2 linked regions of the Mus musculus genome follow. The protein of the gene in region 1 interacts with the protein of each later gene in a pairwise test. Links are inferred from orthologs where the notes say so. Each region holds a gene or a part of one and is shown on either strand. Other genes may lie near its edges.

What was found.
Region 2: the proteins of Cltc (region 1) and 2310057M21Rik interact in binary tests that used the Homo sapiens proteins (3 or more experiments, as listed by UniProt). The link is inferred for Mus musculus from reciprocal best matches to the Homo sapiens genes CLTC and C10orf88.

Annotation. Positions count from the first base shown.
Region 1 is NC_000077.6:86,753,734-86,759,294, forward strand, and holds the start of Cltc (clathrin heavy chain 1), read right to left. Parts: upstream 3,835-5,561; 5' UTR 3,557-3,834; coding exon 3,515-3,556; intron 1-3,514. UniProt on the Homo sapiens protein: Clathrin is the major protein of the polyhedral coat of coated pits and vesicles. Two different adapter protein complexes link the clathrin lattice either to the plasma membrane or to the trans-Golgi network.
Region 2 is NC_000073.6:131,358,977-131,364,650, forward strand, and holds the start of 2310057M21Rik (ATPase PAAT), read right to left. Parts: upstream 3,751-5,674; 5' UTR 3,696-3,750; coding exon 3,532-3,695; intron 2,961-3,531; coding exon 2,757-2,960; intron 1,986-2,756; coding exon 1,913-1,985; intron 1-1,912. UniProt on the Homo sapiens protein: ATPase that regulates mitochondrial ABC transporters ABCB7, ABCB8/MITOSUR and ABCB10. Regulates mitochondrial ferric concentration and heme biosynthesis and plays a role in the maintenance of mitochondrial homeostasis and cell survival.

The DNA.
Region 1 (5,561 bases):
ATGATGCAGGCCTAGAACCCCGGCACTCAAGAGGCTGAGAAGCAAGAGGATTTTGAATCTGAATCCACTCTGGGCAACATTAGCAAGACACTGTCTTTAAAATATGATTTATGGTCAGGTGTGATGGAATATGCAATAATTCCAGCACGCTGGAGCCAGAGGCAAGCAGATCTCAGTTCAAAGCCATCCTGTTATACATAGTAAGTTTCAGACCAGACAGTGCGATATAGTTAAGACTCTGTCTTAAAAACAGAAGAGGCGATCCAAACCCCATTCTGACTATGGCCCCTGAGTACGGCCTCCAGCCTTAGTCTTCCACTGTTAATGTGAGACAGGACCAAGGGCTGAGTGAGGACACAGCACACAACAGAAGTTGGACTGCTCTCCTCCTCACTCTCTAGCCCTCACTTATCAGAAACAACTGTCCCAACAGCACACTACCCAAGTTCCCAAGACTTTAAAGTGAAAACCATAGTTTTGCATACCTTAAAGTATAATCCCAAACAGGGCACAAGTATTTTCATTAAAATTGGCCAAACTCCTTAAAGCTGAGTAAACTAACCTTTAAGAAAATTCTGGGGGGGGTGGGGGGGGAGGGAATCGGTCTTCATTTAAACTATTTCCACGGTAGATTAGAGTCTACTTCCAGGTGGCATGCTCTTCTAGTCTTCCTAAGCATCTATTACTGCTTTCTCTTTGAAACCAAAACCTTCTTAAGAATCCTACTATTCAACTCAGCAACACATTGCATGTCTGTGTTTATGGATCAAAGAGAGAAGAACGGGGTGGAAAGATTTGTAAATGAAAATTAAAAGTATCCAAATGCTCAACAAAATGTGTCAATTGCAAAATGCTTAATATGCCAGGAACTGAAAATTGCAGGCAGTGGGGTTTTGTTGTTTTGTCCTTTGAGACAGGGTTTTGCTGGCTGGCACTGAACTTTCTGAGTTCTGCAGCCTAGAATTTGTTCAGAATCTGCAACTCAACAAAAATTCCTTCATCACATAAAATATCAAAATTATGTGATATAGTTCCAAGCCTTGATGACAGATCTTCATCTAAACAAATGCACAAAGGGATATGAAAATAAATAGCAATTTTTTATTTGCAACATTCTCATAAAAAGTTTAAAATAAATTAATTTAGAGTTTGCTGTTAACTTTCACAAGTGAACTCTACACTCCTTACTTCCCAGTTCTCCTAAATGCTTTAGAAAGTTGTTTTCTAAGCAGAATGGCAGAGGCTGGGCAATCAAAGACTTAAGATGACAACTGGAATAATCCTTACACTGTATGTTTGTTTGTTAAAAGAGAGGGAATAAAAGTCTGAGATCAGAAGATACATTATCCTTTCGGCACACCTGACTCTATCTACTAGAGTGGGATCCTACCAGCCAAAGCCTAAAGTGTAATGAGGTCCTCCAGAAAATAAGCATCCGAGATCTTCAAGTGTATCTGTAAAGCTATTTTATAAATATTCAAAATCTTTAAATTTTGGAAAACAGTTTCAAATATTTGCAGAAATTGCTACTCACATGCCACACCTGCATTAAATCTGTTTTTAATTAGTGACAAGTTTGGATTCCAGTCTGTAAGACCATTCAACAATTCTGGTCTTGAGTTTAATAGAAATGAAAAACTATTACTCAAATCACCAGCAACGGTCATGTCATCAGCAGTTGTCTTTGCTTCTTTTGTGTAAGGTTTATACACATATTTGCAGAAAGCTATTTCTGGTAACTTCAGTGTGGCCAAGTGTTAATCCCAAAGATGGGAGAAGAAAAAACAGCAACCCAAATCATGGTCAAATTAATTAAAGCAAGCAATTAATTAAAGCTAGATTTTTTTCTGTTGTTAGTGTACACAGGCTGCCTCCCTCTTAACTCAGCCTGAAGAGCCCACTGTCCACTAACATCCAGAACAGTGCTTTCCTAACACTTTATATTCTTAACAGAGGAAACTCAAGCTTGAATTGAGAACAAAAATTAACTTCTCTGTCAGCATTGTCACTTGACATTTTTCAGACCTTTACAAAATAGAGATCTTATTGCCAAAATCAGATGAATTATTTGAAAACTAGTGATGACTGAAGAAAATGTATTCAAGTCATTTAATGGGCAAAGAAGTCCTAAAGTAAAATAATTCGTTAATGTTAGCAACACGGTAAAGTCTATAAAGAAATATTTAATTATTTTACTTGGTGCTAAATTTTAGTTAACCCTCTTTATTATCAAACATCTTTTATGTATATCAATGAAGAAAAGTAAATCAGATTGCCTTCAATGATAAAGCACTCAATAAGTTACCAATATTTGAACTGGATCACTGCACCTCCCCCTCATGAAATTAGCCCTTCAGAAGATGCAGCTGAAAGCAGATTTCTTTATGGGGATACTTGAGGGAAAGTAAATTAATATGAATAAATTATGATGTCAAAGAGTCGGGACAAGTGAACCAGGAAAATCAGCAGTTCAGAAGAAGCGTAATTCAGCGAAGCCCTCCAACAGTCACCTGCCTAGGCCAACTGCTGGCAGGTTGCCAGGTTAGACAATGGTGTATTGACTCCAGGATAAGGTGCAGTGGGGGGCGGAGGGGGGACGCCCCAGACTATTAAAAAGGAGCCAGTTACAGATCAACTTGTTAGGTACTGACACAGAGCAGGTATGCACTTAAACCCGGCTCTGATGAATTCCACGCAGTCCTGTGAGACATACTCCTGCCGTAATCCCACAACTACCTGCTAAATTCCAAAAGGCCATAAATAACCTCTAAATAACTCTCCCTACCTGCAAGAATCAAAGTGAGCCTAAGAGCTACACTAACCCTCTGAAGAAACCAAGAAAGGAAAAATATGCGCGTTCCCCTTGGGACCTTGACCCCAGGCACCGAGACTGACACCGCCCCTTGCCGCCCCTCTATCTTCTTTCTGTTCCTTCAGTGAGTGTGACCTTCGGTTCCTTATAGATTCAGGGAAGGCAAGCCACGAGCCACTGCTACCCTAACCCCAAGGTGCCTTTCTCAGTGGTGAGCTGCAGAGGGAGGATGCAGCTCCTCCCCAACCCACCCGCCACACAATTCCTGGGTGCAGACTCGATGTAGAAATGGGAATAGACCAAGGGAAGGTGACAGCCCCGCGTCGCTCAGGGTTAACGAGAAATCTTGCTCTGGGAGAAACGCGCGAGAAGCTCCCCCACCTAGCCCCTACCCAAATGAATGAACTGAGTAAAATGGGAAGGGGGGTCTGGTATGCGCAGTTCTTGCAATCCAGGAAGCAGAATAAGAGGTCGTCAGACGTAAGGCCTGGCCTCGCCGCCCTTTGCACTCCGATTCGTCATTTCCATCCTAGTCTCATATCATTTAACCCTTTAAGCTTTTAAGACACTGTCCTTCCTCCACCTATGCCAAATACCGACACCCCCCACTCCCCTTCTCTCGATCCCTTTCGGGCCAGGCCGCTAGCTTCTTCCTTCCCACGACCCTCGAAAAGTCCCTCAGCAGCCCCGACTCACACGTACCTGGAGATGCTCCTGAAAGCGAATGGGCAGAATCTGGGCCATGGCGCTGTCGGGGAGTATGGTCTCCTCCTGTCACTGGGGCTGCAGGGCAGTGCCTGCCCGGGCTCTCCAAGGGAGAGGAGGAGACGGGGAAGGGGAGGGGAGGCTGGGCTCAGAGGGATACTCTCCGGGGACGCAGGGAACTGGCAGGCAGACGAGAGAGCTTGGGTCGGGGGCGGAGGCTCCAGGGGCCGGGAGAGCCGCAATGGCGGAACCGGGAGCAGCGCAGACTCCGGAAACGGCTGAGCCCTGCGGAAGGATCCCGAGGCAGAACTCCGCCCAGTCTCCTCACGCCGTCCGCCTTATGTAGCCTTCCACAGACGCCGCGCCGCGGTCGGGCGTAGGGATTCAGGGACGCAGTGCGCGGAGCGCTCTTCGCTGATGCGGCTGCGGGGAAACAGAGGAACCGAGGGACTACTTTTTCTAGACTCATCACTTTCCCCAGGCTCCGGTTTCTCCCTTCTCCCCTCCCCCCTCCCACTTTTTTTTTTTTTTAACATTTTGCCACATCATGCGACTCGGGGCGAACTACGTCATTTCCGTAGGCGCTGTAAGACCCACCCACGCACTTCCCGGTGCACGTGATGCGGGTAGGGAAGGGTCGGTTGAAGGCTGCCAGAGTGGAGGGCGAGAGGCAAGATACTGGCCGCTGCTCCTGGGGAGGAGGTGGCGGTTGAGCCCCCTGCCGGCGTGGCGGCCTGGGCGTGAGGACACCGAGTGCCTGAGGAGAAGGCCGCGGCGTGGGTGCCGCGGTGACTAAGGGAAACGGCCCCGCCGCAGAGCTCCTCGGGCGGCTGGCTGCGGCGCGCCTCCCCCGCCTGGTTTCGCGCAGTGGGTGGTTGCTGACACCTCAGGGAGGGGGACCGTACTGAGCTGCAAGCTTCCTTGCCCTGACGCACGCCCTTCTGACGCCAGGAGAGCCGGATGGCTCCTCGAGATCCTCAGATAAACCATCTCAAAGGACAGGGAAGGCCATGGGAGAAGAATCTCCTGCTGGCCCCTGGAGAGCGCTTCCGCGGACATTTTGGTGGACTTAGATCAGCCTAGTGTAGAGATCAGTTTGGCCTTCGAGAACTGGAGGGTTCGGCCACAGGAAAAAGCTTAAAAGATGTAGATCAAAGGATGGCTAGGGAAAGAAACCTCAGGGGCTGTCTTGGAGCTGAGGGATTGACTGTTAGTCATACATGGTAGTAGGACCATTACCTGTAGTTACAGGGTGGGCGATGTAATAAGCCCTTCAAAACCGGAGCACCTTGCCTTCCTACAGCAGTAAGCTATCTGCAGCATTCATTAGCGATTAATAGCCGCCCCAGAGCTCTTGCTAAAGTGTAAGGTGTAATGTCTCACAATAGCACCAATATAAGGAAGATTTAGAGAGTTCATTTCCACATAGTTCGTCTTAATCCCCCTGAAAGTTCTTGAGGAAATTACTTTCAATGCCCCTTTCAACCTAAAGAACATAAGACAACCACTGGGTGTACAATAATTTTGCGTAAGCGGTTTTGCTTAGAGAAATCTGCTTAGTCATTTCAGTTGCGTTTAGTATTCCCCCCAAATACTGCCTTTCATATCTGGGCTGAGAGGAGAACCAGGCAAGTGAGAAGGCAGACAACAGACCCTTGAAGAAGAGCCTTGCCACCATATTTAGGATGTTTTGTGTTTACATAATTTCACTTAAGCACTTGAATGTGCCCTGTCCTGCAATGTTTGAAAAGATTGTTTTCATAAGACTTTGTCCTTTTCTAGAGGTGGGCAAATTTTAAATTAAAATCCTAAGGGAGTTACTGTTTTATTACAGAAATGTCAGTAGCTTAATAGAATTGCACTTTCAATCTCAGAATTTGGGATGTAAGAGCTTCACCATGAACAGATCACCACATTTCAATTTATTGACAAGGGCCTTGTATTTTCATACAGACCCTGCATGAAAGGACATTTCAAATCCCCAGAGCAGTTGATTTTACTTCCTTGGTGTGGAATACCTAACCAAAAAGTGCGCTGAGACTGC
Region 2 (5,674 bases), on another chromosome or scaffold:
AAGTATGTGGCAGTCCTCAAAGGTTAAGGAAACACTCATTAAGTTTACAGTCTACCTCATTATTACCTCCCTTCTTTTATCTATGTATTTTCAGTTTTTAGTTTCTTCCGATAGAAATCTCAGTAGGGAGCGCTGGCTGGTCTGGAACTCACCTCACAGAGCAGGCCTCAAACATGCAATGCTGCTGAGTGCTGGGGTTATCGGTGTGTGTGTCTCCATACTAGGTCTTACTGTCTCCTTTATAGTTTATAATCCCAGGACCATTTTTCATCATCGACTACAGTATCTTTTTTTTTGTTGTTGTTTTTTGAAACAGGGTCTCTATGTAGCCCTACTTGTTTTAGAACTCACTATGTAGATCAGGCTAGCTTTGAACTCATACAGATCCACCTGCCTCTGCCTTTGCCTCCTGAGTAATGGAATTAAAGGTCTGTGCTACCATGACCAGAGACTAGAGTAGATAGTTTATATTATATATAATCAGTAAATCTAGTTATCATCTGTCTTATCCCACTAAAATAGATGCAACATGGAGGCTGGCACTTCAGTTTCCAATTGATATTCCTACATGCCTGGTGCAGTTATCTGCTATCAACAGATACTAAAATATATGCTAGATGAATTAAATTACTTTATTTAAATGCCTTTATAAGGTATTAGTTTATTCCACTTAAACAGATGTTGGCATAACCGGCTTTGTGAACTGAGCTCTTCAATGAAAATCTTTTTTTTTTAAATTTTAAAACTAAGTCTTACTGTCTTCTGTGATAATAAACACGTGATTCTAGATATAAAAAAGACCCAAGAATTTGGTTTCTAAGGTCCAATAATTTTCTTCATGAATTAGGTCCAAACAGTTAAGTAAGCTGGCACTGACCAAAGCACTACTTGGTGACAGAGCTTAATTAGTATTTATAACGTCACTTGAGCATTCCAGCTCAGAACCTGTTCCTAAATTCTGACAACATCACTAATACCTATTTTAAGAAAATTATTCTGGCTGAAGCAACAGTCTGGACTCCTTAGAATTTCTGGCTCTCTTGTTTGACCTTTTCCTCCATTCTTTATAGACACTGGGCCAGTTTTATGTTTGCCTTTTGTGGTATTATAGTTTTATAGAAAGACTTTTAAAATGTTCTTAGCTGAACAAGGCTTCAAAATATAGCACTACTATATTAACAAAACATTTTCTGTAACTAATACAAATTACCACACTTTATTATTTAATTAGATATTTTCTTCATTTACAATTCAAATGCTATCCCAAAAGTCCCCTATACCCTCCCCCCGCCCTGCTCCCCTACCCACCCACTCCCGCTTCCTGGCCCTGGCCTTCCCCTGTACTGGGGCATATGATCTTCTCAAGACCAAGGGCCTCTCCTCCCTATGATGGCCGACTAGGCCATCCTCTGCTACATATGCAGCTAGAGACATGAGTTCTGGGGGTACTGGTTAGTTCATATTGTTGTTCTCCCTATAGGGTTGCAGACCCCTTCAGCTCCTTGGTCCTTTCTCTAGCTCCTCCATTGGGGGCCCTGTGTTCCATACTATAGATGACTGTGAGCATCCACTTCTGTATTTGCCAGGCACTGGCAAAGCCTCACAGGAGACAGCTATATCAGGCTCCTTTCAGCAAAATCTTGCTGGCATATGTAATAGTGTCTGCTTTTGGTGGCTGATTATGGGATGGACCCCGGAAATTATCACACTTTAAAGAGATTTTCAATGTTTAAAGGATTAATAATTTTTTAGAAAAACAGTACCCCTTTACTAGCTAACTAAGCATTTCTGGACTAAACCTAGGGACCATGTTAGACTACTGTACTGCCAAACCAAGAGAAAATAAGTGTGTATAGAACAAAAACAAAAACAATTTGATCAACCTTAAATCTTAAATTTGGTGATGACTCACCTTTATTTTACAGGCATGCGTGGGAGAATCCAATTTTAGGTATTTTTTGTATAACAAGATCTTTTCATGTTCACTAAAATAAAAGAATTCATTTTTAACAGCCATTGGTTGTAAACATTAACATATACTTAAGAACAAATGATTCGGGACACTCCTTCATCTCAGAGATTCCCTTTTCCTGGTCAGGTACAGGGAGTAATGGGCTCCTGCCTGCGCTGCACCGCGTGGAGGAGCAGTACCTACCACTTGCCAGCTATATGGGGGACTGAACGAGGGAGCACATGGCATACTTTAACGCTCTATAAACACTACTATTCTTTCCAACACAGGCAGGACCTAGAGCATGCATTATGTTCAGGACAGATCTGGGCAGAACCCTGTACAAGACTGGGGGGAAAAAAAAATCACAAACTGTCCATCTTTTAATAGGTCAGTAAATAGGCTGCCGTGACAGTCTTAGTTTGATATATCAATCACAAGGAGCCTTCTAGAAGGGAAGAGAGTCAGTTTCAGAATGTCTAATGGTTGTTAAACAGATCCTGCTGAGATACGTGAGAACAAGAATGCTTACCTGGACTGCATTCTAATAAAGCTCTTCCACTAATTACCAGTGACCCGCCAACTCACTTCCAGTTAACTAGCCCGAAATCTCCATATTTTTAAGCTTGCTCATCAACCCTGCCGTTGGAAGGCTTAGTGGTCTAACCTATGTCTATTGGCATGTTTTTAACTTCTCTTCCCTAATGACTCCTGTCCTGTCAGTCTCAGAAAATCCACAAACATTACGAGCTGAGAATAAAGACACTGATTCATATGAACACTTTCATCTAGACAAGTCACAAACCTGTCATCCAGGACAGTGCAGGCAGTCTTGCCTCGACTGGTTCCACAATACTCCTCTCCTAAGTATACTTCCATGTTTCTTGCTGAACTCAGAACGCCAACCGAAAGGATTTCTTCACCCCCATTAGGGCCACAGTTCAGGTAAATGAAGCAGGGGTTTTCATCTCGGGGGCTCAGGCTGCTTTTCAGACTAACCGGATCCTGGCTGAGAAGAAAATTGAAAAAAAAAAATCACAGAGATAAGTTTTCCGAGTAGAAGCATAACCCATTAATCCTTTCAAACTCACCTCTACTTGCCATGAGAACCAAGAACCTTCCCCATCACCCACAGATACTTCTCACAGAATTAATAAGGAACAGAGGTTTGAGGCGTCAGGGCATTCATTCCCGTCCACTTTTCCTAGACCGTGGACAGCCTATTCAACTATCTAATTCATTCGCAGTCAATTAAAAGCGTTTACTGAATGTTAAAACAACCATGTGTCTTTTTCCAAGACGCCGTGGTTCTTGTTCCCCCCAAATAGAAGACTGGGGGCGTTCGCGGGTGGGGGGCGAGGAGGATTGTAACAGGAGGGCATCTTGAACACGAGTTTCCCGGCCTCTCCGGCCCAGCGCGCACCCTTTGCCCGCAGCCTCGCCCACCTCCAGGCACCACCGCTCTCCCCCATGCCGTCCCCGCGGCCTCGCTCGGCTCCCTCGCCCGTCTCGGCTCCCGTCCTCCTCCCGGCTCCTCAGCAGCGTGACTGTCACCCGACCCCGGCCCTGGCCCGGCGCACCTCGGAGCTGGCGGCTCCAGTAGCTGCTCGAAGTCCAAGTCTTGGGCACGTGGCCCAGTCCGGGTAAGAAAAAGGCTTTGGGTCAGCGCCCCGCACGCCGCATCCCAGGACGAGGTCAGCGTCGGGCCGCGGTCCAGTCCCGCGTCTTCGATCGCGGTCTCCATTCTGTCTCCTCCAACCCAGGCGGCGTCGGAACCTCTCTCGCAGAGCTTGCGTTTCCTTCAGTGCCCAGGGGAGGTGAAGGTTCAGCACAACTTCCGGTTCTTCCCCCGACCCCACCCCATCCCACTCCAACCCTTCCCATCCCGGGACCCAACCACCACACGTGCGCATGCGTGTTCGTCTCCCTTCCAGAAGTTGGTTTAAAATCTCCGCGGAAAAGAGCCAGGGGTTGGCTCGTGCGCGGAATTCCTCCGCTCCTGGGGCAGGTGCCGCGCGCATGCGCAGTGCTCTGCGCGCGGGAACCCAGGGGTTTATTTCCACGTTGGCAAAGCAGCGACGCTTTAGGGTGGGAGGTGGGGTGGCGCCTGGGCGGTGTCGGCACCCTGAGGGTGGTACCAAAGCAGATAGGTGCGGTCTCCTTGGCTCAAGCAGCCTGTAAAGCCAGCTCCCAATCCGAGGTCCTCGGAAGAGGACTCCGGGGACCCTTCCTGCGCCAGCCCGTGGAGTGAAGGCCATGCAGGCTGCTTTTGAAGCAGTGCGACCACGGCTGATCGCGTTGTTTCACTGCTCAGGTCACCTCCGTGGGCTGTAGAGTGGAGCGCGGCGCTTAGCATTGCAGAATAATGCTGAGTGGCCGAAGGCACTAAACACTGAACCCACTAAGACCCGGCTTCCGAGCCTCAGGAACCCGGTGGAGCGTGCTTGCACGTCCTAAATGACAGAATTCTCAAGGTTAAAAATGTCCAAGAGGCTCAAAGCTGCGACTTAAGGTTTCTCACTCATAACCTTGACAAAAACTGGCAATGGGCCTTGGTCCCTTCAGAAGTACATTGTACGGTCAAACTTTCTGTGGTGACAAGTGGGACTTGAAACTTTATACTCATTGGAAAGAAAGCTAGGTATCGGCTGTCGTTCCACCCCATACCCACCCCCATTATCTTCCTGAAGTGGGTTGTGTAGATAATTTAAACATCTATTGAGGCGAGGGGAGAAATTTGTTTACAGAAATGTGGAGTACCTGAATTTTAAAGTTGTGCTTGAGGCCTTATATATAATTTCTGGGGAAGTTTTGTTCAGCCATAACCTAGTTTTGTCCCAGAACTTTTTGTTCATCGCTCAGAAAAAACGTTTTGCTTTAATTTTCATTTTAGTCTGTATGTGTACCCCTGTTCAAAAAACGTGTTTATGTCATCAAGAAAAAGATGATTGAATTCTATAGACAGTCACCAGAGTGTATGTATAATGTGTTCATCAAGTTTGAAAGAGAAATCAGAGATTCAGTATAAACAAAATCTAGAAACAGTAACCTTTAATTCTAAAAGGCTCAATTTATATTTTTAAAAGAAATTCCCCACATTCTAAGTGGTCATCATTCTTGTTCTGTTTAGTATGGGGAGCCCCCTCAGAGTGCACAACCAATTGAAAGTCTTTATTCTAGGTATAGCCCCTGAGTGTCCAGAACATGGGATTTTAAGAGACCTTAAAGCGAAGGCATCTCCCTTGGCTGCTGCATCAGAGCACTACGGAGTAAGCAGTTTTAACAGAAGCTAAGATGAGCTGTTAGCCAGCCACCAAGGAGGGTTCTGAACAAATGAGCAACTTAGAAGAACAGTTAGCTGGAGGAGGTTCCGCACAAACAAGCAGTTTCAACAAAGGCTAAGATACGTTATCTTGGCCATTCTGACCTTTGGTTCCTAGAGTGGAGTTGAGTAGTTTTCCATAGGATTCTCCAGCTCAAGGAGATCAGATTCAGGGTAAACCTGAAACCGGCCGGTGGCAAGAAGGCCTTTGCAGTGTCTTGCCCTGTTACTCTGTATTTCCGGCTCCTCTGGTTATAAACTAGGTTAATACGTGTAGACAGTCCTAATGGAAGTACACTCTAGAAACACTAACTTGCAGGTTTGCGTGCAAGATTAATAATACCTTGCGGGTTTTTACTTCCTTAAATAAGGCTGATGAATCAGAAGACTAAAGGCACCTA